Linked DNA regions of Anolis sagrei. The protein of the gene in region 1 purifies or fractionates together with the protein of each later gene. This does not show direct contact. Links are inferred from orthologs where the notes say so. Each region holds a gene or a part of one and is shown in the gene's direction. Other genes may lie near its edges.

Region 1 (7,278 bases):
TGAGAGCTGACTAGATCACGGCCATGTAGGGGGGGGGGAGTTCCAGAGGAAGGGGGGGCATCCAAGACGTGTGGGGGAGGAGACTTGTGGGTCACAAACATCCCAGGGAGAAGCGCAACAGAGTCCTTGCGACCCTGGAAAAGGTGGGTAGTGGTAGGCTCCTTGGCAGCCCCCTTGGTCTTAAGGTCCTGCTGATTAATGCCAGATCCGTTAATGGTAAGACCGCGGCCATTCAAGACTTGATCCTGGATGAGAGGGCGGATCTGGCATGCATCACCGAGACCTGGCTGGACGAGCTGGGGGGTGTAAATCTCTCTCAGTTATGCCCACCAGGTTTTGGAGTGCATCAGCAGGCCAGACAAGGGGGGCGGGGAGGAGGGGTCGCAGTAGTCTTTCGGCAATCCATCGCCGTGATCAGATGCGCTGTCCCGCAGGCTTCCGGGTTTGAGTGTGTCCACTTGAAAGTGGGGAGCCGTGACAGTGTGGGGTTCCTGCTGGTGTACCGCCCACCCCGCGACCCAGCAGCTTCCCTGTCTGAGCTAGCGGAGGTGGTCTCTAATTCGGCCTTGGTCTCCCAACGCCTGGTGGTGCTGGGAGATTTTAACATTCACGCTGAGACCACCTTATCTGGCGCAGCTCAGGACTTTATGGCCACCATGACGACCATAGGACTGTCACAGATAATATCTGGCCCCACTCACCAAGCTGGACATACTCTTGACCTTGTCTTTGTGATGGACAACGAATTGATCAGAGTGGAAGATCAAAACATCCTTCCTGTGTCATGGTCTGACCATTATCTGATCACTTTTAGACTTGCTGCGACTCTTAACCTCCGCAGGGGTGGAGGACAAATTAAAATGGTCCGCCCTAGGAGACTGATGGATCCGGATGGATTCCTGAGGAATCTTGGGGTTCCTCCTGCCCTGGAGCTTGGCGATTCTATCGACGCCTTGGTAACTCTCTATAATGGGGAGATGTCCAGGGCATTAGATATGATCGCACCCGAACGTCCCATCTCGTTGCGTCGTGACAGGCCATCTCCTTGGTTCACCGAGGAGCTGGCTGTGATGAAGCATACGAGAAGGGGGCTAGAGCGCAAATGGAGGAAATCTCGAGCCGTCTCTGATCGAGCACGGGCTAAAGCCTCTCTTAAGGCATACTCCGTGGCTATATGGGGGGCCAGGAAATCGTTCACGACCTCCCGTATAGCGTCTGCTGCAAATAGATCATCGGAGCTGTTTCGGGTCGTGGGGGAACTCCTCCATCCTCCTGTGGTGGAGGAGGTCACTGATGACCCAGCAGCTAGGTGTCGCGATTTCGCACACCATTTTGCAGGTAAAGTCGCCCAGATACGCCTTGAGCTCGACTCCAATTCCATCGCAGTGCCAGAAGAGGTGACGGAGGCATCTGCTTGTCTGACTTTGTGGGATTCTTTTAGGCCTGTTCTTCCTGAAACCGTAGAGGAGATTCTTGGGGCTGTGAGGGCGACCACCTCATCTCTAGACCCATGCCCATCTTGGCTCATCAAATCAGCCAGGGAGGGGTTGCTTGATTGGTTTGTATTGATTATCAATGCATCGTTGGAGCAAGGGATTTTTCCATCTAATCTGAAGCAGGCTGTGGTTCAGCCACTCCTCAAAAAAGCTTCCCTTGACTCCACGGTGCTGAGTAACTACAGGCCAATCTCCAACCTCCCTTTTCTGGGTAAGGTGCTGGAGCGGGTGGTCGCCTCGCAGCTCCAGAGCTTCTTAGACGATACCAACTACCTAGATCGGTCACAGTCTGGCTTCAGGCCTGGTCATGGTACCGAGACAGCCTTGGTCGCCTTGGTGGATGACCTCCGCAGAGAACTGGACAGGGGGAGTGTGACTCTGCTGGTTCTCTTGGACATCTCAGCGGCTTTCGATACCATCGATCATGGTATCCTTCTGGGTCGTCTCTCTGGGATGGGCCTCGGGGGCGCGGTTCTGTCGTGGCTCCGGTCCTTCCTGGAGGGACGGACCCAGATGGTGAAGCTGGGAGACGCCTGCTCTGACCCCTGGCCTTTGACCTGTGGGGTCCCGCAAGGCTCCATTTTGTCGCCCATGCTTTTCAACATCTATGTGAAACCGCTGGGAGAGGTCATCCAGGGTTTTGGAGTTGGGTGCCATCTTTATGCGGATGACACACAACTCTACTACTCCTTTCCACCTAACTCCAAGGAGGCTTCTCGGGTGCTAGACGAGTGCCTGGCCGCTGTGTTGATCTGGATGAGGAAGAACAAGCTGAAGATCAATCCCGACAAGACAGAGGTCCTCCTGGTCGATCGTAAACCGGATCGGGGTATAGGATGGTTACCTGTGTTGGACGGGGTTACACTCCCCCTAAAGCCACAGGTCCGCAGTTTGGGTGTCCTCCTGGATTCTTCGCTCACACTTGAGGCTCAGGTGTCGGCGGTATCCGGGAGGGCCTTTGCGCAACTGAGACTTGTGCGCCAACTGCGACCATACCTCGTGAAGGCTGATCTGGCCGGCGTGGTCCACGCCTTGGTCACCTCTAGAATGGACTACTGCAATGCGCTCTACATGGGGCTGCCCCTGAAGATGGCTCGGAAACTTCAATTGGTCCAGCGGGCAGCTAGGATCCTAACTGGGGCTCCTTATCAAGAGAGGTCTACCCCTCTGTTTAAGGAGCTCCACTGGCTGCCATTTATTTTCCGAGCCCAATTCAAGGTGTAGGTGCTCACCTACAAAGCCCTAAACGGTTTGGGACCACCCTACCTGCGTGACCGCATCTCCATCTACGAACCCACACGCTCGCTTCGATCATCTGGGGAGACCCTACTCGTGATCCCACCTACGTCGCAAGCGCGCTTGGTGGGGACACAGGACAGGGCTTTCTCTGTGGCGGCCCCCCGACTTTGGAACGCCCTTCCAAAAGATCTCCGACAGGCCCCTACTCTAGCTGTTTTCAGAAGGAATTTAAAAACTTGGCTATTCCGTTGTGCCTTCTCAGACTAGGAATCCCCACCCCAAGTCCTAGTAGCACCTTAGCATAACTAATCGTCGCTGCACACCGCACTTCTAATCCTACGTGCCTCCTGCCATTTCAGCACTTTTAACCCTTGTACCCCATTGCGCCGGCCGAACCAGTTTTAATAATGTCTTGATGTACTGCCATTGTCGTTATTTTGCTTATTGTTTTGATTTGCTTTGTTATTGTTGTGCTATGTTTTCTATTGTATTGTGTTTTGAGGCTTCGGCCTGTGTAAGCCGCATCGAGTCCTTCGGGAGATGCTAGCGGGGTACAAATAAAGTTAATAATAATAATAATAATAATAATAATAATAGATAGAGATAGATGTATAGATGGTGGGTTAGGTAGACAGACAGACAGATAGTGGGTAGGTAGATGGATGGATGGATGGATAGATAGATTAGATAGAGAGAGGGGTGGGTAGATGAATGGATGGATAGATGGATGGATGTATAGATGATGGGTTAGGTAGACAGACAGATAGTTGGTAGGTAGATGGATGGATGGATACATTAGAGAGAGAGAGGGTGGGTAGATGGATGGATGGATGTATAGATGGATGTATAGGTGGTGGGTTAGGTAGACAGACAGACAGATAGTGGGTGGGTAGATGGATGGGTGGGTGGTGGATAGATAGATCGGTGGGTGGGTAGATGGATGGATGTGTGGGTGAATGGATGGATAGATAGATAAATAGATAGGTAGATAGACAGATAAATCGGTGGGTGGATAGATAGATGAATGGGTGGGTGGATGGATAGACAGACAGATCAGTGGAGGGAGGGAGGGAAGGAGAGAAAGAGAGAGAGCTATCTCGTCTCCAGAGGAGTCAGTCATTGTCGGCGGGCTCCGCCAGGGGGCAGTAGAGCGAGAGAGAGCGAGCGGAAGAGCGCCGCTGCCGACACTTCCTCCGCTGTCCTTCTGAGCGGAGCTCCTCGTCGGCCGGGTTTCCGCGGAGGAGGAGGAGGAGGAGGAGGAGGAGGAGGGGAGGAGGGAGGGAAGAAGAGGTTGAAGGAGACTCGGCGGCCTTGCCTTCCTTCCTTCCTCCGGTGCGCGGCGGGGCTGGGAGCAGCCGAGGGTAGAGCAGGCCGCGGCGTGTGTATGTGGCGGTGAGCGCCCTGCCCTCCATGCGCAAGATGCTGGCCGCCCTTTCCCGCCTGCTGCTGCTGCCCAAGGGCTCGGCTGCCCACAAACCGGTGAGTGAGCGGGGGGAGGCGGAGGGCAGAGGGCTCCCCGTGACTGACTGACTGACTGACTGACTGACTGCCTGCCTGCTTCCCAAGGCCACGTGCCAGGGGCGCGAGGCGAGGGGGAAACGGGCACTCCCGAGGGGGCGCGTGGCTGACAGCTGGGGTCGCGCGCACAACAACGGGGGGAGGGGCGACGCGGGGAGGTGAGGAGGGAGGAGGCCGCGCCCTGTAGAAGAGTTCTCTCCCTCAAGAGCTCTCTGCCCTCCTCTGAGGCAGGCTTGGGCCTTCAGTCGTTTCTGACCTATGGCGAGCGAACCCTCTCCTCCACCTTCCCCTCCTCCTCCTCCTTGGCAGAAAGGGGTTTGCCCTTGCCTGTCTCTGAGGCTGAGAGAGTGCGGCTTGCCCGAGGTCACCCGGTGTCTTTCCTTGGCTCCTCAGAGTGCCCTTGAGGTTTCTGCTTACACTGTCAGCGCTGTGGAGCCACGGGAGTTTTGGCTTGCGCTTTTTGAAAGGCAAGGCTCAAGGCCATGCAAAACGACCACCCCCAAGACGCCAGGGCAGTTAGGAATGGGGCCCAACTGGATTGGTTCTACAGTGAAGATGCACCTGTAGTCCAGCGCTCAAACTGGCGCCCATTTATTTATTTATTTGTCGTGTCAGGGCAACTGGTGCCCATAAGAACACACAGTCCCCTGGAAAAACCAACAATGCTTGGTTATTTAGAAAGCTGTACAGAAAAAAGGCAGATGCTGCAGACAGATAGATTGTTACTGCATAGAGTTACGACCGTGTTGGCTTCCCATCCAGCTACTAGCAGGGCCAACCCTGCTTACCTTCCAGTGGCTGCTGGATTTTTGTCATTATCTCCCATTAGGTTGTGTTGTCCAAAGCTTTCATAATCACTGGGTTGCTGTGAGTAAATGCCCAGTAGAGTTTTTTCTGCCAGCCATAAGTCAACCTAGTGGCAGGGTTGCTGCAAGTTTTCCGGGCTGTATGATCATGTTCAAGGAACATTCTCTCCTGATGTTTCACCCACATTATGGCAGGCATCCTCAGGGGTTTGAGGAGTCTGTTGGAAATGAGAATGCCTGCCATAGATGTGGGCGAAATGTCAGGAGATAATGCTTCTGGAAAATGGCCATACAACCTGGAAAACTCTCAGCAACCCTGCCATTAGGTTGACTTATGGCTGGCAGAAAAACTCTACTGGGCATTTACTGCTTAAGACATACTAAATATTTATAGACTTATTGTAAATCAACAGGTGACTAAAAGCACACAGAAATTACAGAATGGGAATGGAAGAAACAATATTCCTTCAACAATACATTGAGATTATTAAGAATAGTTTTGGCCATAACTTCATAACCACAGATGTATTAAGAATATTCTCCTTTCTAAAGCACAATAAGACCCTAAGCTCTTACAAAGAGCAGTACAAAATAAAACATTATACTAACACAATACAGATATGCCTACTTTGTACTATGCTTCTTGCAACACATTAATATTGCTTTGTGTCTGAGTCTCCAGTTTGTGCCAAAGGACATGGAAGTGGCTTTCTGGATAATCAGGCTGCCATATGGCATCACATGTTTAAGGGTAAAATAAAGGCAAACATTCCACACTACAGGAATAGTATTTCTTGTCTCAGAAAACCCTATGAAATTAATGGGGTTGCCATAAGTTGACAGACGGAGGCATACACACAGGTGACCAATATAAAGAGAGCACAGGTGTCTTCCCACTCCTTTCCATATTTGTGGAGAGGAAGCTGTCTCTTTTCAGGTATGTCTTTTTGCCCAGTTTCTGTTTTGATATAGTTGCAACACTGCTGCCCTACTTGTGTCTGTCTTATTTCAATGCAGTGGTTCACAACCTTTTTTTGACCACTCTCCAACAGTAGTACCAAATGGGTTACAAATCGGGTTTGGGTCAAGTGTAGATTTGGTTTGGTTATTTGGGGTACTAATTCAGAAAATTGCATTGGGCAGACCACATCAGCTCTAGCTTCTGATGCAAAACATATGTCATCCAGTAGTCACCATTTGCTTGCCCACAGAAAACCATATTTAATAATTTATTTATTTATTTATTATTTACTTTGCTTCTATACCGCTGTTCTCAGCCCGAAGGCGACTCACAGCGGTTCACAGTCAGTAAAAACAGCAATAATTCAATGCAACATATAACAACAATTAACAACTTAACACATTACCCGCTCAGTACACAATTACTACCATAACCAAACCCAATCGTCTTATCGTCAAAAACATAATCCAGATTCGTCATCCATTGTTCATTCCTATGTTCATTACCAATCATTGTACTAGTTATTCGAATGCCTGCACACACAGCCAGGTCTTCAGTTTTTAGGGAATACCATGAGAGATGGGGCCGATCTAATGTCCATGGGAAGGGCGTTCCACAGCCGAGGGGCCACCACCGAGAAGGCCCTATTTCTCGTCCCCACCAACCGTGCTTGAGAAGCCAGCGGGATCGAGAGCAGGGCCTCCCCAGAAGATCTCGAAGTCCTGGTGGGTTCATAGGCAGAGATGCGGTCGGAAAGGTATCTTGGGCCGGAACCGTTTAAGGCTTTATAGGCCAATGCCAGCACCTTGAATTGAGCCCGGTAGCTCATCTAGAGCTCATCTAGAGCTGATGTGGTAATAATAATCTTTCATGGGTAGTCAGCCTCTCCCCTCCCCATATCCCTGTTGCCTCTGCACTATAAGAGAGTTTCGCAGGACCAGTCACTCTCATTGTTGCGTGGCTTCGAGGCAACAGTGTAGTAAGTGAGACCACAGACCATATTTTCGTTCATGGGGACCACTGGTGGTTCATGGACCATAAATTAGGAATCGCTGCTCTAAGGTAATAATATTGGTAAGATGTAATAATGGCCACAAACCATATTTTCATTGTTGGGGACCATTGGTGGTCCATGGACCACAGGTTGGGAACCACTGTTCTAAAGAAATAATATAAGGTGAAATGTTGGCCACTATTTTTTTGTTTTTTATTGGGGGGTTTTGGGGGGGGGGGGCTGGGTGGTGGTGGTTGTAACCTA
Region 2 (8,308 bases), on another chromosome or scaffold:
GAGTGTAATTTTCCTGCTTCTTGGTAGAGAGTTGGACTGCATGGCCCATTTGGTCTCTTCCAACTCTATGATTCTATGACTAGTGTGAAAGAGGTTGTCGTGGAAAATTTGAACTAGAAGAGCTTCCAAAGTTTGGCATCAGGGTGAGAATCAATTATAACTACAGCTGTCTATGTTGACTGGAGATTATTAAAGTTGTAGTCCAAATCTCCTACTTAAGCCAAGTTGTGAGGGCTGTGGACCTCAAGAAATTAATACTATATATTTTCAGAAATTATACTTATCAGAGCCAACATATCATAGACAAGCCACTTTGGGGAGATAAAGCAGGGTATACATAAATATAATAATCCAACTAAAGCATACAAACACGTTTTGATTAAAATCTTAGCACCACATTCTTGGTGGTATAACCCTTTTTTGAATGGTAATGTGTGTGTCTGTTCTTACAATGCAATGCTTTGTGTATTTATTTACTCAATAGTAAGTACCACTGATTTAAATGCTTAAGTTAGAATTGCACCACATGTGTCCTGTTTAATTCATGTTCTCACATGAGAAAGGTTTAACCTAATTAAAGCTTCCATCATCAGCATAATAGCCAATTGGCTTTTTCCTCCATGAGCATGGGCAACTCCAGATTAATGACAACCTGTTACATGTGCTTGGTTTGCTGGATTGAGACTTAAATTACTTGCAGAGAGAATTAAGGGCATATCTACACTGTAGAATGAATCCAGATGGACCCCACTTTAACTGCAGTGGTTCATTGCTATAGACCCATGGGAGTTGCAGTTTTATAAGGTTTCTAAGCATTCTCTGCGAAAGAATGCTGGTGCCTGAACAAACTACCACTCCCAGGATGTAGCACTGAGCCATGGCGGGAAACTTGCTGCAAAACTGCGTTAATTCTATAGTGTAAACTCTAAGCGACAATTTGTAGAGATGTTGACTCAACCAGCAGTGACCCCTGGACTTTTAAGTAAAATTGCACCACTCTATGAGAGACACATACATTCAATGTCTCCGTTGTAATGCAACAGATCAGTGGAGCACTACGGTTTTGTAAGCCAAGCAAGACAGCAGTCTGACTGCAAAAGAAATCCTGGTGAAAACAAGGGGTTTATTTTACAGAGCATTCACTAGGTACAGTATTAGGCTCCGCACTGCTTAAGGGGGTTTATGGTCTACTAAATGAATTGAGGCTGAAATCAACACTGCATGTATCTGACCAAGTCAGTTCTAATTCCTGAAAGCATATGCTATAATAAATTTATTAATTGTATAGGTGTCATGGGGATCTCTCTTGGTTTTGCTGCAAGCAAGTACTAGTGCCCCTTGGAAACTTGTGACAGTGAGGATTCAGTAAAGTTCCCTGCAGGATCCATGGGAAAATCAATCAGCCTATCCATGATCTTACCTGGCTTATGATCTACTTATCATAATTACAGTGATAAAGAGAAGATTGGGGGGAATGGGACAACAAAGGGGGAATCTAGCAGCACCTTTTAAGACTGACTGGTTTATATTTTTCATGACATTTTATGAATATTAATCCATTTGTTCAGCTGCTATGACATAAGAGGCAGTTTGATACTTGAACTTCAATGGCTCAATGCTAGGGAATAATGGCAATTGTAGTTTTAGCCTTCCCTGTCACCAAATCCTAGGATTCCATAGCATTGGCCATGGCAGTAAATGTGTAGCCAATCTGCATTAATTTCACAGTGCAGATGCATCCCTAGTAATCTTAAAGCCTCAGGTTGTTAAGCATATTTACAGATCTGTGGGAGTGAGAGATAATGTAATAGATTTCTACTTTCCTGGTCAAACAGTATATGTGGAATACCCTTTCTTTGAAATGCTTGGGACTAGAAGCATTTTGGTTTTTGAATTATTTACTCAGATTTTGAATATAATATGCACAATGAGGTATCTTGAAGATAAGACCCAATTCTAAACAAATTCATTTACCTTTATATATAAATAGCCTGAAAATAATTGTATAGTCTTTCTTAAAATTTTGTGTATGAAACAAAGTTTGTATGCACTGAACCATCACAAAGCATAAGTGTTACTATCTCAACCATGATTTTGGAGGTTTCTGGAATTCTGGCTAAAGGATGCTCAGCCTGTATAGGATTTTCAAGGAGCAATTCTTGAAGAAAGAAATCACAACGGGTGACTGGTGAGAGCAATTGAATGTCATTCACAATCTGCAATCTATTAGCAGAGGTAGGAATAAAGAAAATAGTTTTATAACACAATACATGAATCCCCACAACTGGAAATATAACAAAGGAAATCTCCCAATTTCACAGATCAATGTTGTAAAGACCCAAAAGACCCAAATTTCCCCATGCAGTCTTTTGAAGATTTAGGACAGAGGGCCAGGATTTGCATCTTTCTGAAGGACGCAGATGTGGACAGATATTATTATTTACAAAAGGCTCATGTGTATATGTATGTGTGTTGTGTGTGTGTGCACGCGTGTGTGTGTGTGTGTGTGTGTGTGTGTGTGTGTGTGTGTGTATATATATATATATATATATATATATATAATTTGGACTGATGAAAGGTAGGCTGCTAGGGATGGTGTGACTGGGATTTTGGGTCAATGTGGAATGTTAATGTTTTAGAATATTTTACATATTTTTATTGGACCTATGTTTTATTAGTGTAATCATGTTTTATTTAAATATTTGTATTATTATTATTAGTAGTAATTCAATTATCTTTTTAGTTATAAGTTTATTGATGTTATTTGTATTAGGTTAATCTGTGTGTATTTGCTTTCCTATGGCATTGAATGTTTGCCTTTTTGTATGTAAACCGCCCTGAGTCCCCTTGGGGAGAGAGAGCAGTTTATAATTATAATTATAATTATTAATAGTTTGATGGCACAAAGAATTCAATTATTTCAATGTTGTTAATGGCACACAGTGGTTTTTTTTAAAGTACATTGATATTTTAATGTGTTTACATTGTTTGGTGCCTTTGGTAGTAATATTGAGAGAAAGACAAGACAAAAATAAAGTACAAAGTATAATGTATTAAACTGTTTGATATTTATACTGGTGGGTTTAGCGGCCATTAGTTGTTTTAACTATGCTTAACGATATTTATTGTTTTCTTTTTTATTTACAGGCTTTTGTTTGATATTATGTATATTTTTTGTGTTGTGAGCTGTCCCAACTTTCTTTGGGGAGAGGGGGTGGGAATACAAATAAAGTTTATTATTATAAACTATGTATGTATGTGTGTGTATAATAAATAACAAATAAAACTACTAGCCTGAACTGGGCTGCTAGATCCCTTCTTACAATGCCATAGGGTGCATCTACACTGTAGAGCTGTAGCTCTCCATCTTTGGAACTCACTACCAGGTGAGATTAGGCAAGCCCCCACTTTAGCAGCCTTCAAGAAAAACCTGAATTCGTGGCTCTTTTGATGTGCCTTTGGAGAGTGACCATTTATCCCATTTCTGTTTGCTTCATCTATAGTGTTGTCTCTATGACGCACTCCCCCCCCCCCCCCCGTCCTAAACTGAAAACTACCCTACTGTTTATCCTTTTTGGGCTCCCCTCAATTACATATTTTCTATTCCTATCCTATCCAGGGTTTTATCATTCTACCTCATCCATTTGGCCTGCCCATTCTTTTCGATTTTATATTATGTTAGTTTGCTTTATTTTATTTTGCTACTGTATGTATTTTATTCTGATGTATATTTTTGTTGTCTGCATTCTGTATTTTATTGAGCTGTATTGTATCTTTGGGCTTGGCCTCATGTTAGCCGCCCAAGTCCCCTTTGGGGAGATGGTGGCGGGGCATAAATAAAGCTTATTGTTATTATAGAGCAGCCATGGGCAAACTTAGCCCCTCCAGGTGTTTTGGATTCCAACTCCCACAATTCCTAACAGACTCGGGCCTTTTCCTTTTCCTTCTCAGCCGCTTAAGCAGTTGAAGCAATTCAAGAGAGATATTGACAAGCTGGAATGTGTCTAGAGGAGGGCGACTAAAATGATCAAGGGTCTGGAGAACAAGCCCTATGAGGAGTGGCTTAAGGAGCTGGGCATGTTTAGCCTGAAGAAGAGAAGGCTGAGAGGAGACATGATAGCCATGTATAAATATGTGAGAGGAAGCCACAGGGAGGAGAAAGAAAGCTTGTTTTCTACTTCCCTGGAGACTAGGACATGAAACAATGGCTTCAAACTACAAGAAAGGAGATTCCATCTGAACATGAGGAAGAACTTCCTGACTGTGAGAGCCTTTCAGCAGTGGAACTCTCTGCCTCAAAGTGTGGTGGAGGCTCCTTCTTTGGAAGCTTTTAAGCAGGGGCTGGATGGCCATCTGTCAGGGATGATTTGAATGCAATATTCCTGCTTCTTGGCAGGGGGTTGGACTGGATGGCCCATGAGGTCTCTTCCAACTCTTTGATTCTATGATTCTATGAAAAAGGAAGGGACCCGAGGCTGTTAGAAATCGTGGGAGTTGGAGTCCAAAATACCTGGTGGGCTCAAGTTTGCCCATGCCTGCAGTAGAGTTAGTATATTCAGTTCTTGTGGGTTTTTTCCGGGCTATATGGCCATGTTCTACAGGCATTTCTCCTGACGTTTCGCCTGCATCTATGGCACGCATCCTCAGAGGTGAGGTCTGCTGGAACTGGGAAAAAGGGGGTTTATATATCTGTGGGATGACCAGGGTGAGACAAAGGGCACCTAGCCCAACTCAGAGGAGGATGCGTGCCATAGATGCAGGCGAAACGTCAGGAGAAATGCCTCTAGAACATGGCCATATAGCCCGAAAAAACCCACAAGAACTGAGTGATTCCGGCCATGAAAGCCTTCGACAATACAGAGTTAGTACAGTTTGATGCCACTGTGACCGCCCTGGCTTAGTGCTGTGGAATCATGAGAGTTGTAGTTTTACACCGTCTTTAGTCTTCTTGGCCTCGCCAAACTCCCACTCCCAGGATTCCCCCGCATGGAGTCCTGGCAGCTCAAGCCATTCCTGAGGATGGACTAAGAGAGCGGCTTCTTTTGTCTTCACTGACAGAGGAGTCACGTGAGCGAGGCGGCACCATAGACAGAAGCGGGGGCAGAGCGGCCACCCTCTTGCGACAGAGGAACCCAAAGCCTTCCCGGCGTGGCCCCGCCCACTAGGCGCGTCGGCACGCCGGGCGGGTCTCGTGACCGGAAGAGGGCGAGCGAGAGACGGAAGTGAAAACGGGGAGGGTGTTTGGCCCCATTAAAGCGGACCTGAGCGGCGCAGGGAGGAGGAGGTTGTCACCGCTGCTGCTGCTGCTGTTGTTGAGTTACCACAGAAGTCGCCACCGAGGAGGAAGAGGAGGAGGATTCCGGGCCCCCTGAGACGGTGAGGGAAGGGCGGCGGAGGGAGGGAGCGAACGAGGGAGGGAGGCCTGGCGGGTGGGGCTAAGCGAGGCTTGGCGTCCCGGTGGGCCCGGCCTTGGGTGTGCGGCCCAGGCAGCGCCAGCGGGGCTTGTTTGGGAGACAGCAGGAGGAGGAGGAGGAGGGCGCGGCTCCCTCGGCGCTTCAGGCCGCCCTTCTGCCTCGGCTGCCAAGGAGGGAGGAGAGAGCGGCCCCGGGCCCCGCCCTGGCTCTCTCTCCGAGGCAGGAGTCGCTCTGGAAGTTCCTTGCCTCCTCACGGCAGCTCCGGAGGGAAAACGAAAGGGAGGCGGCCTTCCCGGAAGGGATTTTGGTGTGAGGAGCGAGCTTCTTCCTCTTTCTCCCCCGACACAAAGAGATGTGGGGTGGAGCCCCGTGCTCGTCCTGATACCTTTGAAGTCCACACAGCCATATCACCTAGAATATCAAGACGGATAAGCCACAATATGTGCTTTGGACCGGGTTATCTGAGTCCACACTGCCATATAATCCAGTTCAATGTGGATTTTATACAGCTGTGTAGAAGCGGCCTGAGTGTGACTTAGACCTTGGCCCTCCGAAACCGAAAGGCGAGAAAGCCCGGCCCGAGTAGGTTCCCTTCCCCCTTCTGGTCCCCTCCCGCCAGCCCTTCCCTGCAGGCAAAACAATAACGCTTCCTGTCGCTCCCGGTTGAAGAGTTCAAAGGTAAGGTAACACGCCTTTGTTTCTCATGCCCCATCTCTAGTAATCACTTAAATCCATTTCCAACCGGTGTTGAAGAAAGTGGTTTCGCTGTGCAGACGATTACAGAGGAAATCCAGGAGCCACTTCGAGGCCTGGATGGTGATTACACAGATCACTCAGCGTTAAGAGGTTTCTTTCGCACGCTTTTGTGGGGCTTTGTTGTTTGCTCTCCGCAGTTTGAAGCTAGTTTCCAACTTCATTAAATAGTCAAGAGTAGAAGGGGCCTTAGTCGTCTGCCTTGTTCATGCCAAAGTGCTTGACCTTGGTGTCATATTACTTCGGGAAGTTTGAAATTGAAACCATCTCCTGAGGATTACTTTCTTGTCCGCTCCCTGTGTAAATAATCACCTGAGGTAAATGTACTCTTTCCTGAATGGTATTTTTTTTGGTCGCTCGGTCTTATAAGCAAGCTTGTCCCATTGTATAGTAGGAAGACTTATGTGTAAGCCTACATTGATTATCAATATACATAAAAATGTAATGTTAGTTTGTGGGATTTACATAACTCAAAAACCACTGGACGAATGTACACCAAATTTGGACACAATACACGTATTAGTCCAATGAGTGACCATCACTCATAAAAATGTTGAAAAACACAGAAGAGACTTAAAAAGCACCCACCCACCCCCAATTACAATGCATGCACAAAACCACACATATACACAAATGCATACATATACACACAAAAAGCACTTATACACAGACTGGGCCACAGCAACACGTGGCAGGGGATGGCTAGTGATTCATATAAATGGTTAGGTAGTATGTTTGTGGACAATTCTGGAATGCCTCTGGTACGCACAAGGACAGCTAAGGGTAATAATATATTGCTAGAATCTACTCAGAATGCACAAATGGTAAACCATTGGGTCCTTCAACTTGATGCTATCTTACTGGTTAAACATGAGATCATTGATTAAATTAGGAAAAGCAAACAAAGCTTGATCTCTTCCAAGTATGTAACTTGTAAGTGTGCTGCCTTTCTGAGTATTCACTAGTATTGGTCAAGACTGCAAAAGAGTCCAAGAGTACTCCAAGTCTTGACTCATCAATGTCCTTGGACAGAACAGGATTTATCTTGGTAATAGTGTGTGCACGCATGTGCAACTGAGTAGGAGAAAGTTCTTATCAGACTAGCATTTTCTGTACCTTTTTGTAAAGATTTAAATATTTAAGCATGGCAAATGAATCCTGGAAGCATGCTGAATTCTAAGAATTTAGTGGAAATTACTGAAACTAAAATGAGTTGCCCTTCCAACTGATTTTGTAACAAATGACTGTCAAATGCCAGATAATAAAATGTAAGCCAGGTTTAAATTTGGCTTGCTTAAATTCACTTCAGTAGTCCAAGTATTCTTGTGTATGTGTTATATTTTAAATATTACATGTGTAATTTCACTGATCTTTGTAAACTTCACAGATTTTCAGAGTGTGCTTTTAATTTCGTTGCTCCGCTGCTGAGGAGTAAAACTTGATTAATGGTAGGAGGAGTTTAGATACTTTCCCTGTTCTTAGCCATGCCCTCTTAGTTGGGAAGAACAAGCATACTGTCTTCCCTTGTGATTGAAGCAGCTGATAAAGCACATGATTTAGTTCATGGATGGCTAACTACAGTTTGTCTAGGTAAAGAGATCACCAAAATGCCAACAAGTAGTTTTGAATAAAGCCAGCAATGCAGCCTGTCACTTTTACTTCAGAAATCATGGCAAATAGCATGTGGGAGCTCTATAGCAATCTAATTCCCTATTTATAACATTTCCACCCAAGGGTCTTAAACACAAACAAGAAAGGTCTCTAATATATATGTTGTTGAAAGCTTTCATGGCTGAAATCACTGGGTTGTTGTGAGTTTTTCAGGCTGTATGGTTCTAATTTGTGTTTGAATATATCGTCTCTAATACGTGTCTCTAATATATGTTTGATGGTACTCTACTTGCCCTTGAAATTCTAAGCATCAGAACAAAGAAGTCATTTAAATAGCGTATGCATTTTATATTGAGATCTAGTTTTATAACTTGATAGTTCTTGAAACAAGATGGAGCATAATCTAGAGAAATCATGAAGTACATCTGGAACTGCTATCATGGAACAACAGAGCTACAGAGCATGTGCTTTTGTGAGTGGAAAGTCCCAAGCTCAATTCTTGTAATCTTCAGTTAAAAAGCATATTGGTA
Region 3 (7,504 bases), on another chromosome or scaffold:
AACCATATAGGGGAAATCATAAGAAATTCAGAAAAAAAGGAAAGGAAATCATATCTGTCCCCCCCACCCTGAGTCCATCTCACAAAGTATGGAGAGCATAGTGTTTTTCTTGACTAATCTTTAGCCAGGATATGTAAATGTTTTTCAGCTCAAAAGAGAGTCCCTTTTGTTTGTGAGTCGTTGACTGAGATGGGAAACCAATTGGAGAGCCGTTAATTCTCTAGCCTAGTTGTGTCTCAGATGGAAAAAGTCAAATAACTTTTGTGGCATGGTTTTCAGTAATAAATTTGTTACCTTCTGCTATATTTATTTATTTACTTACTTTATTTATATACCGCTTTTCTCAGCCCTCAGGCAACTCAAAGCGGTGAAATATAGGGCACTGATTAAATGTACACACTATCTGACATGGGAAGGGTCCCTGTTGTTGTTGTTAGTGTCTTTGTAAATTGACCAAGACTTGACCCCTATTGTCTTTGTCCTTAGCAAAACTATAAGTTACTATCTCTTATGGGGGTCAGCTCCAGCTTCTCATGAAGGAAAATGAGAGAAGCCTCCCACTGAGTGGTAAAGTATCCAGGCGTCTCCTGGGCAATGTCCTTGCAGAAGGCCAATTCTCTCAAACCAGAAGCAATTTGCAGTTTCTCAAGTCGCTCCTGACATGAAAAAAAATCTCACTAACTCTATCTGACATGGAAAAAAAACCCCATAAAAGTGCTGATTCCCTTTACTGATTCAGGTAAATGAAGCCTGCAGAAGGGAATGTTGCCAGAACATAATAAGCATATTTTAGAGGACAGCTGTCGTTTACCTTGGAATTTTCTGTATGTCCTTGGAAGTAGTTGCAGTTTTTCAAATTTCTGGATTCACCTAAGACTTGCAAATATCCAGAAAAATCAAAAAGCTGATAGCTGTGGCTTGAGGAAGAAAAATAAAACTGCCAAGTTATGTGGGCATTTACTACTGAAAACCATGGAGTTTACAAACAAGCCTTTGTATTCTGCTCAAAAGATTCCCTGGAGCAAGCATTTAATCCTCAAATCATGAGGCAGGGTTAGGTAATCTTAATCTAGTAGTGTCTTTCAAACATTTGCAAACTTCCATTTTTTAAAAACAAACAAACAAACCAACTTTTCTCAAAATCCCAGGTATCATCATCTGTTTGGAAAGTCCAAAGTCTGCAATTGTTTTATAACGTTTAGAGAAGCTCAAGCGAGAATTAGCAACATGGAGTGTCTATTTAATCTTTTTTCATGTCAGGAGCAACTTGAGAAGTTGCAAGTTGCTTCTGGTGTGATAGAATTGGCTGTCTGCAAGGACGTTGCCCAGGAGACACTCGGATGTTTTACCATTATGTGGGAGGCTTCTCTCATGTCCCTGCATGGGAAGCTGGAGTTGACAGTTGGGAGCTCGCCCCGCTACCCTGATGTGAACCCCGACCTTTTGGTCAGCAGTCCGGCCCAAGAATGTATGCATGCATTCCAGTATTGACTCTGGACAAGTAGAAGGTTGAGATGAAAACACAGAGCCAAAGAATTGCAGTAGTTACCTGGCATATTAGCATTTCGAGATTTTGCTAGTAGCATGTTGCCCATCAGGAAAAGGAACTTCTGGCTAATATCCCAAATCCTGAACAACCGGGGTATTCTTACGCTGGTGGTTTGGAGTACATAATCCTCTGGGGGGAAAATAGGTATATAGTACATGCATTTCGTGACCACATCTATATAAATAAAAATGTAATGTTCGTTTGTGGGATTAGCATAACTCAAAAAACCATTGGACGAATTGACACCAAATTTGGACAGCATACACTTAACAACTCAATGTATGTTTTTCACTCAAAAAAATGATTTTGTCATTTGAGAGTTGTAGTTGCAGGGATTTATAATTAACCTACAATCAAAGAGCATTCTTAACATCACCAATGCTGGAATTGAACCAAACGTGGCACACAGGACTCCCATGACATGGGTACTGATAGGCATTGACCTTGAGTTTGGGAGTTGTAGTTCAGCTACATCTAGAGAGCACTGTGGAGTCAAACAATGATGGATCTGGACCAAACTTGGCACGAATATTCCATATGCTCAAATATGAACACAGATGGAGTTGGGGGGGGGGGGGGGGAATAGACCTTGACATTTGGGAGTTGTAATTACTGGGATTTATAGTTTACCTAAAATCAAAGAGCATTCTGAACCCCACGAATGATAGAATTGGGGCAAACTTCCCACACAGAAACCCCTATGACCAATAGAAAATACTTAAGGCCATCCAGTCCAACTCCCTTCACCAAGGTCATTAGACTGGGCCACAGCAACACATGGCAGGGGACAGCTAGTATGTGTATATAGAAGCAAAGAAACACATTCTAAGCAAGCCTCAAAAGTCTGGAAGGCAGCACCTTTGAACAAACCTTAACTCACTACGAGATTTGACTTTGCACTTGTTTTTAATACAGACATAGGAAACCCATTTCCCCCACCCCCAAAAAACCCTGGTTATTGCCCTCATCTCCTCACTCTACCCTCTCATGAAACAAGTAAAACCAATATATAATGTATATATAATTTTGTCTTGTGTGTACAATTTTGCATGGAGGGCCATTGGGTTGAGAAGGATCAAGCCACACTTCAGTGGGTATTAGACTTAAATTCCCTATACAGTCTTTTAGCTTTTGAATTATTTCATTAGTGTTAGATGCGCTCGCTAGATGGTGCTCTCTTTGCAAGGGCTAATTATATAATGCCTTACTCTAATGATATGTGACACTAAATATTTAAAGACATTGGCACACTTTGGGGATGTCTCCAAGTCTTAAAAAAGACAGATTTTTCTTGCAGATGTTACAAATACCTAGAAAACTGGCCAGCTATGGCAGTGGTTCTCAATCTTCCTAATGCCACAACCCCTTAATACCTCATGTTGTGGTGACCCCCAATCATAACATTGTTTTTATTGCTACTCTTTGGCTTAGAAATGTAAGCGCTGCCTCCGGAAAATCCTGCAAATCTCTTGGGAAGAGAAGTGGACAAACGTCAGCGTGCTGGAAGAAGTAAAGACCACTAGCACTGAAGCGATGGTCCTCCGCCATCAACTCCGCTGTACCGGCCACGTTGTCCGGATGCCCGACCACCGTCTCCCAAAGCAGTTGCTCTACTCTGAACTCAAGAATGGAAAACAGAATGTTGGTGGACAGGAAAAGAGATTGAAAGATGGACTCAAAGCCAGCCTTAAAAACTCTGGCATAGACACTGAGAACTGGGAAGCCCTGGCCCTTGAGAACTCCAGCTGGAGGTCAGCTGTTACCAGCAGTGCTGGAGAATTTGAAGAGGCACGAATGGAGGGCGAAAGAGAAAAACGTGCCAAGAGGAAGGTGCATCAAGCCAACCCTGACCGGGACTGACTGCCTACCACCTAGAAACCAATGCCCTCACTGCAGGAGAACATGCAGATCAAGAATAGGGCTCCACAGTCACCTATGCATCCACCAATCTTGGAAGACAATCCTACTCAGACATTGAGGGATCGTCTAACAACAGTTTGGCTTAGAAATGTATATAAGCACCAACCCGCAGAGTCAGACACGACTAGACATAAAGTAAGGGGAAAACCTTTATCTTTACCTAGCTGGCCCTGATTGTTTGTTGGTTTGTTTATTGTTGATTGATTGATTGATTGATTGATTGTTTATTAACCGCTTTGAGTCCCCCCAGGGGTGAGAAAGGCGGTATATATATATTGTAAATAAATAAATTCCTCCCTCCTTATATATATATATATGGATTCAATGAAGGAGTGGCTTTGCGGAAAATATAATAAAGGGCTGCCATTTCCCAATCTGGCCACTTGATGGCAGCAAAGGATTGTACATTGGAGTCGCGGAGTCCTGGGTGAAAAGCGCCTCTGCGGTTTCAAGGAAGGAGCAGAACAGCAATTCCTGATGTCTCCACTGGGCGGCGGCAAAAGGACCGGCATTAGGGCCCTGTAGAGCCGTAGAGGAACCTGTTTGGGGATGTTGGGGACTCTTGTCCAACTCCCCTAAGCTTAAGAGACTGAGGGGGGAAAGGAAGTGGTCTGAGGCTGTTAGGAATTGTGGGACTTGAAGTCCAAAACTTTCGAGTTGATTTCTCTAAATCCCCTAACAGCAAAACGTGGAGTTCACTCTATTTTTAAAAAAAGCTCTAGTCTAGGGTTTCTTGGAAAGAGGACCCAAGTTGACCCGTGGCTGCTCTAAATCTAAACGTGGAGTTCACTCTAAATTTTTCAAATCTCTAGTCTAGGGTTTCCTGGAGCTAGAGCCCAACTTGGCCGGTGGCTGCTCTAAATCTAAACGTGGAGTTCACTCTATTGTTTTACAAAAAGGTCTAGTCTAGGGTTTCCTGGCGTGCTTGATGACGTAAGCACGTAGGCGCCCGGAAGCGAGAGAGGCGGAGCCGGCGGTTGGCGCTGTCAAGCCCAGTTCGGAATCCTCCTGAGGGGAAAGGAGGCAGGAAGGAAGGTCGGTCGAGGCGCCGGCGGCAGGTAGCGCGGCCTGAGGCGGTTTGGGGCCAGGCTGAGGCGCGAGGGAAGGGAAGGGCCGCGAAAGGGAAGTCGCCCTCAGGGGGGCCGGACAAGTGTCCTTCGCGGGCGGGTTTGGGCCGCGCCGGGTTCCGTAGGGAGGTGAGAGGCGGGCCTGGCTAGGCCGGAGCCCCCTGCTCGGGCTCTTGTGTGCCCCTGTGGGCCGTGTGGGTCTGGCCTACTAGATCTCCATCCCCTCCGGCTTATTATTGGAGTTCTTTCCAGTAATATTCCATTTCATTTGTTCTTCCCTCTCTCCTCACAGCTCGAGGCGGGGCACAACATATAGTGAAGATAACACCGATTTATGTTTCATATACAAATGAATTTGGGCTCTCTCTCCAGGTGTTTTGGACTTCAACTCCCATCATTCCTAACAGCCACAGGACCATAAGCAGCTGAGGGGGTGGGGGGAAGGAAGGAAGGAGCCTGAAGCTGAGGGGGAAAGGAAAGGGACTGAGACTGTTAGGAATGGTGGATTTTGGCCCACCTGGAGGGAGGGCAAAAGTTGACCCAGGCCTGAGGTAACTGGTAGGTGCTGGATAAATGTAGCTGAGAATTACCGTTAAAAATAGGACTAACCCAGTGTTTTTCAACCTTATAATAACTTTATTTTTATACCCCGCCTCCCATCTCCCTGAAGGGACTTTGGGGCGGCTTACAGGGGACAAGCCCAGGATTACAATAAAACAGACACAATAAAAACAATCAATAACAACAAATAAAAAACATTAAAATTAATTAACATAAAAACAATACCTTTCCTAATTCTGCAACCCCTTCCTCATGTTATGGTGACCTTCAACCATAAAATGATATTTAATGCTACTTTCATAACTAGAACTGTACTTTCATAACTGTAATGTTGCTACTGTTATGAATCGCAGTGCAAATATCGGATATGCAGGATATATTTTCATTCACTTGGCCAAATTTGACACAAATATCCAATACGCCCAAATTTGAATACTAGTGGGGTAGGAGGTTAATTTGGTCATTTTGTAATTGTTGGGATTTATAGTCCATCTACAATCAAAGAACATTCTGGACTCCATTAACCATGGAATCAAACCAAACTTGGCACACAGAACTGCCATGACTAACAGAAAATACTGGAAGGGCTTGGTGGGCATTGAGCTTGAGTTTGGGAGTTGCAGTTCACCTACATCCAGAGAGCACTGTGGACTCAAGCTATGATGGATCTGGACCAAACTTGGCACAAATGCTCAATATGCCCAAGAATGGACACCAGTGGAGTTTGGGGGAAATAGACCTTGACATTTGGGAGTTGTAGTTGCTGGGATTTACAGTTCACCTACAATCAAAGTACATTCTGAACCCCACCAACAATGGAATTGAGCCAAACTTCCCACACAGAACCCCCATGGCCACAGAAAATACCATGTTTTCTTATTATCGTTGATGACCCCTTTGACACCTCTCGCGGGGGCTGCCAGGGGTCTTGGACCCTAGGTTGAGAAACACTGGACTAAACAATACTATACATTGTGGACTCAAATAAACCCAGTTTAAAGCAGATATTGTGGGATTTTCTGCCTTGATATTCTGGGTTATATGACTGTGTAAGAGCCCTAAGTATAGTTTAACTTTTACTGTTTATGCTCTGGAGTTTCTCAGAGAGGGAAGACAGGTGGACAATAATAATAACAACAACAACAACAACAAAATGACTTCTTACCTACTTCACTTCATGGCTCAAAGTAGGTTACAGAAAAATTAAAACACATAAACATTGCAGGAACGCTACAGATAACATATATTAAAACATATTTCTACAAAAGTTACATATTAAAACGTATTTCTATAAAATGTCTATTAAAATACACAAAATAGAGATTAAACGGATTAAATGGATACAAAACAGATCACAGATTTTAAAAAATGAAACAGTTTTAAAATCTGGGTTGCTGTGAGTTTTCCCGGCTGTATAGACATGTTCCAGAAGCATTCTCTCCCGACATTTCACCCACATCTGTGGCAGGCATCCTCAGAGGTTGTGAGGTCTGTTGGAAACTAGGCAAGTGGGGTTTATATATATGTGGAATGTCCAGAATGGTATCAAGTTTGGTACCAGATATATCTAATTAAAAACCATTCTACTGCTTGGACACCACAGACGCCTTTCCTCATTACTGTATATTGTTTTAATATGTTTGATTTGGAAGATGACGTGAAATGGCGAACTGTTTTAATGTATCTATAATTGTTTTTAATATAGGTTAATTGTATATTGTGCTTCTTTTGTTGTTTGGCACTGAATGATGCCTGTTGGTAGCAGTACTGAGTCCCTCTTCGGAGGCGAGAAGGACAGGACAGAAATGCTCCTAATAATTATATTAAATAAATAAATGTTTAGGTTCTTGTGGGTTTTTTCGGGCTATAGAGCCATGTTCTAGAGGCATTTCTCCTGACGTTTCGCCTGCATCTATGGCAAGCATCCTCAGAGGTAGAGGTCTGTTGGAATTAGGACAATGGGTTTATATATATCTGTGGAATGGCTGGGGTGGGGCAAGGAGCTCTTCCCTGCTGCAGTTAGGTGTGAATGTTCAGCTACCAGTATCTGGCTACCAGTATCTGGCTACCAGTATTAAAAAACTCTAAAATTATAACAGCTAAACAACAGAGAGGAAAAAACCAGGCACAGATTAACACCTCCCAGCAGCAGATTTTCCCAGGCGCAGGCAGGCCTTCAAATGCTAATGAAGGTGATCAGCTGAACATTCACACCTAACTGCAGCAGGGAAGAGCTCCTTGCCCCACCCCAGCCATTCCACAGATATATATATAAACCCATTGTCCTAATTCCAACAGACCTCTACCTCTGAGGATGCTTGCCATAGATGCAGGCGAAACGTCAGGAGAAATGCCTCTAGAACATGGCTCTATAGCCCGAAAAAACCCACAAGAACCTAGTGATTCC
Region 4 (7,855 bases), on another chromosome or scaffold:
TCAGTTCCCTTTCCTTTTCAGCCTCGGCAGCCTCAGTCCCTTTCCTTTCCCCCTCGACAGCCTCAGTCCCTTTCCATTCCCTCCTTGGCAGCCTCAGTCCTTTTCCTTTTCACCCTCGGCAGCCTCAGTCCCTTTCCTTTCCCCCCCTCGACAACCTCAGTCCCTTTCCTTTCTCTCCTCGGCAGCCTCAGTCCCTTTCCTTTTCACCCTCGGCAGCCTCAGTCCCTTTCCTTTTCACCCTCGGCAGCCTCAGTCCCTTTCCTTTCCCCCCCTCGACAGCCTCAGTCCCTTTCCTTTCTCTCCTCGGCAGCCTCAGTCCCTTTCCTTTTCACCCTCGGCAGCCTCAGTCCCTTTCCTTTTCACTCTCGGCAGCCTCAGTCCCTTTCCTTTTCACCCTCGGCAGCCTCAGTCCCTTTCCTTTCTCTCCTCAGCAGCCTCAGTCCCTTTCCTTTTCACCCTCGACAGCCTCAGTCCCTTTCCTTTCTCTCCTCGGCAGCCTCAGTCCCTTTCCTTTCTCTCCTCGGCAGCCTCAGTCCCTTTCCTTTTCACCCTCGGCAGCCTCAGTCCCTTTCCTTTTCACTCTCGGCAGCCTCAGTCCCTTTCCTTTTCACCCTCGGCAGCCTCAGTCCCTTTCCTTTCTCTCCTCGGCAGCCTCAGTCCCTTTCCTTTTCACCCTCGACAGCCTCAGTCCCTTTCCTTTCTCTCCTCGGCAGCCTCAGTCCCTTTCCTTTCTCTCCTCGGCAGCCTCAGTCCCTTTCCTTTTCACCCTCGACAGCCTCAGTCCTTTTTCTTTTCCCCCCTCGGCAGTGGCGGGAGGGGGGGGGGAGGAAGCGGCCTGAGGCTGTTAGGAATGGTGGAATGGTGGGAGTTGAGGTCCAAAACACCTGGAGTGCTGAAGTTTGCCCAAGCCCGCTGTAGAGAATGCTGGGATGTTTCCCGCTGCATCCTTTGAATGCCACTCTCTATGGCTCTTGTAATTAGTTTTATTTTACTATCAAGGTACGACAGGATCTTTAAAAAACGGTTTTATATTTCTCCAGCGAGTTCTTGTATAGGCATTTTATGTGTTGTTCCTCTAGAAAGAGCGGTAGTGCCTTTCTAACCTGTGTCCGCTGTTAGCATTCGGAGCGTGGTCTTCGTCGTCATTCGGAACAACTGCAAGACTGAAAAGGAGGGGGGAAATTGTTCCTTTCTCTAAGAAGAAGGGGAAAAACCCCTTACTTCCTTTCGTGGAATTAACTGCCAGTTTCTCTGTTGCATGAGTTTTTGTACATTGCGAAAGACAGCATGGAGTTAACTTTACGGAAACGAACGAAATATTGTCTGGTTTTCTTCAACAAGGGTTACGTGCTTCAAGGTGTTTTTAAACTGCATGTCAGTTGAGTTCATTCTTCCATTTTGTAAACACAAGGCAGGATGGTGGTCATTTCAGAAAAGGGCTGAGCAATCCTGCACACAGTTTACGACTTTAAATCCCATGGATTTTGATGCAACCAGCCCAAGATTTTGCAGGACATTCACTTAAGACCTTTCAGCATTCATAAAGTTGAAGCAGTTATAATCTTCGCCTAAGATCTTCGATTTGTCAAAGGCTTTTATGGCCGAATCACTGGGTTGCTGTGAGTTTTCCGGGCTGTATGGCCATGTTCCAGAAGCATTCTCTCCTGCCGTTTCACCCACATTTACGGCAGCATCCTCAGAGGTTGTGAGGTCTTGTCGAAGGCTTTCATGGCCGGAATCACTGGGTTGTTGTAGGTTTTTTCGGGCTATATGGCCATGTTCTAGAGGCATTCCCTCCTGACGTTTCGCCTGCATCTATGGCAAGCATCCTCGGAGGTAGTGAGGTCTGTTGGAACTAGGAAAATGGGTTATCATGAACACAGTACAATATCAGTGCTATACATCACTATATTGTATTATACAATTATATTGTAATATTATTAGTAATATTACATGTAATATAAAATATATAATTTTATTATTATTATTATACTATATGGTGTTGCAGTTTTGAATTTTTAAATTATTTTTACAAGGCCATTAAATGCTAATCAAGGTGGCCAATGGGAACAATCAGGTGGAAACAGGGGCAGCTCACACCTCCCAACATAGGATTCCCCCAGACAGGAAGCAGCCAGGATTTGAAGCTGCAAGGCCATTAAATGCTAATCAAGGTGGTAGTTGCCTCAAGCAGACAAGAGCTCTTTTTCTCTATAATGCCCACTTGCCTAGTTTCCAACAACCTCTGACATAGATATGGGCGAAACGTCAGGAGAGAATGCTTCTGGAACATGGCCAGACAGCCCATAAAACTCACCGCAACCCAGTGATTCTGGCGATGGAAGCCTTCAACTACACATAATGATATTTTGCCTAATACCTTTGGTTTGTTTATTGTATCCCTACAGTAACACCAAAGATATAACCTTACAGTGAATTTTCAGCACTGGAGGATCCAAGACCCTTGTTCTGAATCTTATATATGTGCAAAAGCCTTGTAAGTCGCAGGTTTATCAATCCTCTTCTTGTCGTCTTTGCAGAGTGAGGTCAGCATGGATTATTAATTGGACCAACGGGCAATATGCATTTTTAATGAAGAGGGAATGTTCTCGTTCTTTTCGTCTTTGCGGCTGATTTGTTTTGCTTCCTTCTGCAATTCCTTTCTGGGTCCGTGTCCTTGCAGAACCAACATTGCAAACGTTCCATACCAGGCTTGGGCAAACTTTGTCCCTCCGGGTGTTTTGGACTCCAACTCCCATAATTCCTAACAGCCGGTAGGCTGTTAGGAATTGTGGGAGTTGGAGTCCAAAACACCCAGAGGGCCAAAGTTTGCCCATACCTCTTCTATACTCTTCTGTTTTGCCTAGAAATATTGTAATTGCAAAACTCTTTCTCTGTGACCAAGAAGGACCTGGACCTTGTTTGTGTGCCGTTGACCGTTGGACGTACTTTTGACCCAAGGACAAAGACTTTAAAGGAAAGGAACTTTTAATAAAGTCTTCAAAATAAGCCTGGTTTGTTTCATTACTACTTCTATAGGCCCAGGAGTCTTTCAAGGAGGTCCACAAGTGATTGTGGAGACCTGTTCTGGATCCACATGATGGTCTTTCACTATGAAGACATACATTTCCAGAGGGAAGGTAATATCAACAAGGGTTTGCTTGAGGAACCTTCTCAGGACGTTTCTCCCTTTGGCCCTCAATCCTTCTCAAAATCCTAGCACAACTGACTTCCAGTTAGATTCTCAAGGGCCAGGATCTCTCTATGTTTTTGGTGTTTATGTCACTTCACTTAGGCAATCCCTCGTTGGCTGAGTAGTATAGTCAGTGTTCTGGTGGGTCTGTAGGTGACTGTGAAGCCATATTCTTGACCTGCATCGTCTCCTGCAGTGAGGACATTGGTTTCCAGGTGGAAAGCAGTCTCGGTCGGGATTGTCTTGACGCGCTTTCCTCTTGGTATGTTTCTCTTTTTCGCCCTCCATTCGTGCCTCTTCAAATTCTGCAGCACTGCTGGTCACAGCTGACCTCCAGCTGGAGCGCTGAAGGGCCAGGGCTTCCCAGTTCTCAGTGTCTATGCCACAGTTTTTAAGGTTGGCTTTGAGCCCATCTTTCAATCTCTTTTCCTGCCCACCAACACTCCGTTTTCCGTTCTTGAGTTCGGAGTAGAGCAACTGCTTTGGGAGACGGTGATTGGGCATCCGGACAAAGTGGCCGGTCCAGCGGAGTTGATGGCGGAGGAGCATTGCTTCAATGCTGGTGGTCTTTGCTTCTTCCAGCATGCTGGCATTTGTCCGCCTGTCTTCCCAAGAGATTTGCAGGATTTTCCGGAGGCAGCGCTGATGGAATCGTTCCAGGAGTTTCATGTGAGTTTTTAGAGTTTTTTAATACTGGTAGCCAGGTTTTGTTCATTTTCATGGTTTCCTCCTTTCTGTTGACATTGTCCACATGTTTCTTGTGGATTTCAATGGCTTCTCTGTGTAGTCTGACATGGTGGTTGTTGGTGTGGTCCAGCATTTCTGTGTTCTCAAATAATATGCTGTGTCCAGGTTGGTTCCTCAGGTGCTCTGCTATGGCTGACTTCTCTGGTTGGAGTAGTCTGCAGTGCCTTTCATGTTCCTTGATGCATGTCTGGGCAATGCTGCTGTGTTTGGTGGTCCCTATGTAGACTTGTCCACAGCTGCATGGGATACGGTAGACTCCTGCAGAAGTGAGAGGATCCCTCTTGTCCTTTGCTGAACGGAGCATTGGTTGGATTTTCTTGGTGGGTCTGTAGATAGTTTGTATGTTGTATCTCCTCCTCAGCTTCCCTCTACGGTCAGTGGTTCCCTTGATGTATGGCAAGAACACTTTTCCTCTGGGTGGGTCTTGGTCTCGACTCTTGTGGCTTGTTCTCGGTCTTGCAGCTCTTCTGTCTGAAGTGGAGTATCCATGCTGGACCACACCAACAACCACCGTGTCAGGCGACACAGAGAAGCCATTGAAATCCACAAGCATGTGGACAATTTCAACAGAAAGGAGGAAACCATGAAAACGAACAAAATCTGGCTACCAGTATTAAAAAACTCTAAAATTACAACAGCAAAACAGCAGAGAGGAAACAAACAAGGACATCTAATCACCTCTCAACAAAAGATTGCTTCAGGCAAAATACATAAATATCAACAGTCTTGTGTAGCAATGGCCCTAGTGTCAACAGTTGCTTTGGCGCGTGCGCAGAAAAGCCCTCCGCCAGCCGCGCCTGAAAGGCACAGGGAGGGCGCGGCTTCCGCGCATGCGCCTGGAAGACTCGGGAAGCCCCGCCCACCTCTCCTTGGTTCCTTTACGGCCCCCTGTTTTTGCGGCAGTGTCGTGCGCCCTCTGCTTCTTTCCGGGAGGCACAGCCAGAGAGACAGGAGAGGGAGGTCAGTTAGAGAGCGGAGGCGGCGAAGGAAGCAAGGCAGGCGAGGGCCGGGCGTGGGCCTAGTCGCCGAGGGGAGCGATGTGGCGGGCGCTGGCCAGGCGCGTGGCCCGGCAGTGCGCGGCCCCGAGGCGGGCGGGGGCGAGCGCGGGGGAGAGGGCGCGGGGCCGCGCTTGGGCCCACCACCAGGCCTCTGCCTCCGCCTCCTCCTCGGCCTTCTCTTCGCCTCCTTGGGGCGGGACGGCGCTGCTGCTTCTCCCTCGAGCCGGAGCCAAGACAGCCGGGCCTCAGGCCGCCCCTTCCCGGCCCTGGAGCACCTACCCGACCCACCAGAAGGTGACACTTGGGGGCTCTTCTGAGGGGGAAAGGGGGCCAAAGACGATATTGACATTTGAGAGCAGGCATGGGCCAGCTTGGCCCCCCCCCTCCAAGCAAAACAGCAGAAGGAAAACAATCAGCTAATCACCTCTCAACAAAAGATTGCCCCAGGCACTGCCAGGCCATCCAATACTAATCAAGGTGGTCAGTTGAGACATTCACACGCATTCCAGGCAGGAAACAACGAGGGCCAGCTAACACCTCCCAAGCAAGGATTCCCCCAGGCAGTAAGAAGCCAGACCTTGAAACTGCTAGGCCATTAAATGCTAATCAAGCTGGCCAGTGGCAACATTCATGCTTGCTTCAAGCAGACAAGACATTGGGTTGTTGTAGGTTTTTCCGGGCTATATGGCCATGTTCTGGAGGCAATTTTTTCTCCTGACGTTTCGCCTGCATCTATGGCAAGCATCCTCAGAGGTAGTGAGGTCTGTTGGAACTAGGAAAATGGGTTTATATATCTGTGGAAAGACCAGGGTAATGTTTCAGCTGATCACCTTGATTTGCATTCAATGGCCTGGAAGCGCCTGGGGGTAATCTCTTGTTGAGAGTGATTTTATGTGCCTGTTTGTTTCCCCTCTGTTGTTTTGCTGTTGTAATTTTAGAGTTTTTTTAATACTGGTAGCCAGATTTTGTTCATCTTCATGGTCTCTTCCTTTCTGTTGAAATTGTCCACATGCTTGTGGATTTCAATGGCGTCTCTGTGTAGTCTGACATGGTGGTTATGAGAGTGGTCCAGCATTTCTGTGTTCTCAAATACTATGCTGTGTCCAGGCTGGTTCATCAGGTGCTCTGCTATGGCTGACTTCTCTGGTTGAAGTAGTCTGCAGTGCCTTTCATGTTCCTGGATTCGTGTTTGGGCAATGCTGCTGCGTTTGGGGGTCCCTACGGAGACTTCTTGGCCACAGCTGCATGGTACATGGTAGACTCCTGCAGAGGTGAGAGGATCCCTCTTGTCCTTTGCTGAACGTAGCATTTGTTGGATTTTCTTGGTGGGTCTGTAGATCGTTTGTATGTTGTGTTTCCTCATCAGCTTCCCTCTGTGGTCAGTGGTTCCCTTGATGTCTGGCAGGAACAATTTTCCTCTGGGTGGATCTTCATCTTTACTCTCGTGGCTTGTTTTTGGTCTTGCAGCTCTTCTGATGTCTGAGGTGGAGCCTCCATTGGCCTGGAGAGCCCAGTTGAGGTGGTTCAGTTCATCTTGGAGGAGGTGGGGTTCGCCCTATAGCACGAAAAAACCCACAAGTACCTAGTGATTCCAGCCATGAAAGCCTTTGACAAGACAAGACATTATTCCACGGGTATACAAACCCCACTTGCCTCGTTTCCTACAGTCCTCACAACCTCAGAGGATGCCTGCCATTGATGTGGGCAAAACGTCAGAAGAGAATGCTTCTGGAACATGGCCTGGAAAACTCACAGTTTTTGCAGTTTAGTAAATTTTCCCCATGTTTTTATGATAGTCCCAATTAGGAAATGACATTTACAACACAGGAACAAAAATTGTGTTGTGTAGTGTAATCCATTGCCTGGTTCTGGGCAATGCAGTTCAAGGAGGAAGGAGTCTGGAGAAAGGTCACGCAAATGACAGAAAGTTTGTAAACCCTGCATCCCCCTGAGGAGAGGCTTAAGGAGTTGGGGATGTTTAGCTTGGAGAAGAGAAGGTTGAAAGAGGATGCGATGGCTATGTTTTGGTGTTGAAAAGTAGGAAGAAACAGGCTTCCTTTCTGCTGCTTCAGAGACTAGGACACAATGGAGTCGCGTATTCAAACTGCAGGAAAAGAGATTCCACTTAAACATTAGGAAGAGTTTCCTGATAATGGCATTCAGCGGTGGAATATGCTTCTACCTGGGAATCCTATTTTAAGCAGAGGCTGGATGGCCCTCTGTTAGGAGGGCCTGGGTGTGTCTTTGTTCCTGGAAGAAGGGGTTGAAATGTGTGGCCTTTGGGGTTCCAACTTTCTCCCCTTGACCCCTTTCCCCTTTGCAGGTGCCTTTGCCCGCTCTCTCGCCCACAATGCAGATGGGGACCATCGCTCGGTGGGAGAAGAAGGAAGGCGACAAGATCTGCGAAGGGGACCTCATCGCAGAGGTAACCTGAACATGTTAGACCAGGTATGGGCAAACTTTGGCTCTCCTCCAGGTGTTTTGGACTTCAACTCCCACAATTCCTAACAGCCTACCCAACTCCCACAATTCCTAACAGTTTTGGACTTCAACTCCCACAATTCCTAACAGCCTACCGGCTGTTAGGAATTGTGGGGAGTTGAAGTCCAAAACACCTGGAGGAGAGCCAAAGTTTGCCCATGTCTGAGTTAAAGGGTCTCAATTTGCACCTGAGCATTAGCATTACAAAAGCTGTAACCACACTGCTTTTCTGCCTCTGAAGGTGGAGACAGACAAAGCAACCGTAGGGTTCGAAAGCCTCGAAGAATGTTACCTGGCTAAGATCCTGGTGCCAGAAGGAACGCGGGACGTCCCCATTGGAGCCATCATATGCATCACTGTCGACAAGTGAGTACAATCGGGAGCGTCTTTTGAAATATGCTTTGTTTACTACTCTTTATTTACATTTCTGACTCTT

What was found.
Region 2: the proteins of PDHA1 (region 1) and RAB7A fractionate together in Homo sapiens (co-fractionation; 3 studies listed by BioGRID, with this or other methods). This does not show direct contact. The link is inferred for Anolis sagrei from reciprocal best matches to the Homo sapiens genes PDHA1 and RAB7A.
Region 3: the proteins of PDHA1 (region 1) and OGDH fractionate together in Homo sapiens (co-fractionation; 3 studies listed by BioGRID). This does not show direct contact. The link is inferred for Anolis sagrei from reciprocal best matches to the Homo sapiens genes PDHA1 and OGDH.
Region 4: the proteins of PDHA1 (region 1) and DLAT fractionate together in Homo sapiens (co-fractionation; 3 studies listed by BioGRID). This does not show direct contact. The link is inferred for Anolis sagrei from reciprocal best matches to the Homo sapiens genes PDHA1 and DLAT.

What each region holds. Positions count from the first base shown.
Region 1 is NC_090023.1:88,917,747-88,925,024, reverse strand, and holds the start of PDHA1 (pyruvate dehydrogenase E1 component subunit alpha, somatic form, mitochondrial), read left to right. Parts: upstream 1-3,975; 5' UTR 3,976-4,145; coding exon 4,146-4,214; intron 4,215-7,278. UniProt on the Homo sapiens protein: The pyruvate dehydrogenase complex catalyzes the overall conversion of pyruvate to acetyl-CoA and CO(2), and thereby links the glycolytic pathway to the tricarboxylic cycle.
Region 2 is NC_090022.1:56,362,343-56,370,650, forward strand, and holds the start of RAB7A (ras-related protein Rab-7a), read left to right. Parts: upstream 1-5,188; 5' UTR 5,189-5,376; intron 5,377-8,308.
Region 3 is NC_090027.1:15,081,024-15,088,527, forward strand, and holds the start of OGDH (2-oxoglutarate dehydrogenase complex component E1), read left to right. Parts: upstream 1-4,399; 5' UTR 4,400-4,504; exon of another isoform or gene 4,505-4,527; intron 4,528-7,504. UniProt on the Homo sapiens protein: 2-oxoglutarate dehydrogenase (E1o) component of the 2-oxoglutarate dehydrogenase complex (OGDHC). Participates in the first step, rate limiting for the overall conversion of 2-oxoglutarate to succinyl-CoA and CO(2) catalyzed by the whole OGDHC.
Region 4 is NC_090027.1:40,398,241-40,406,095, forward strand, and holds the start of DLAT (dihydrolipoyllysine-residue acetyltransferase component of pyruvate dehydrogenase complex, mitochondrial), read left to right. Parts: upstream 1-4,840; 5' UTR 4,841-4,977; coding exon 4,978-5,232; intron 5,233-7,261; coding exon 7,262-7,363; intron 7,364-7,660; coding exon 7,661-7,785; intron 7,786-7,855.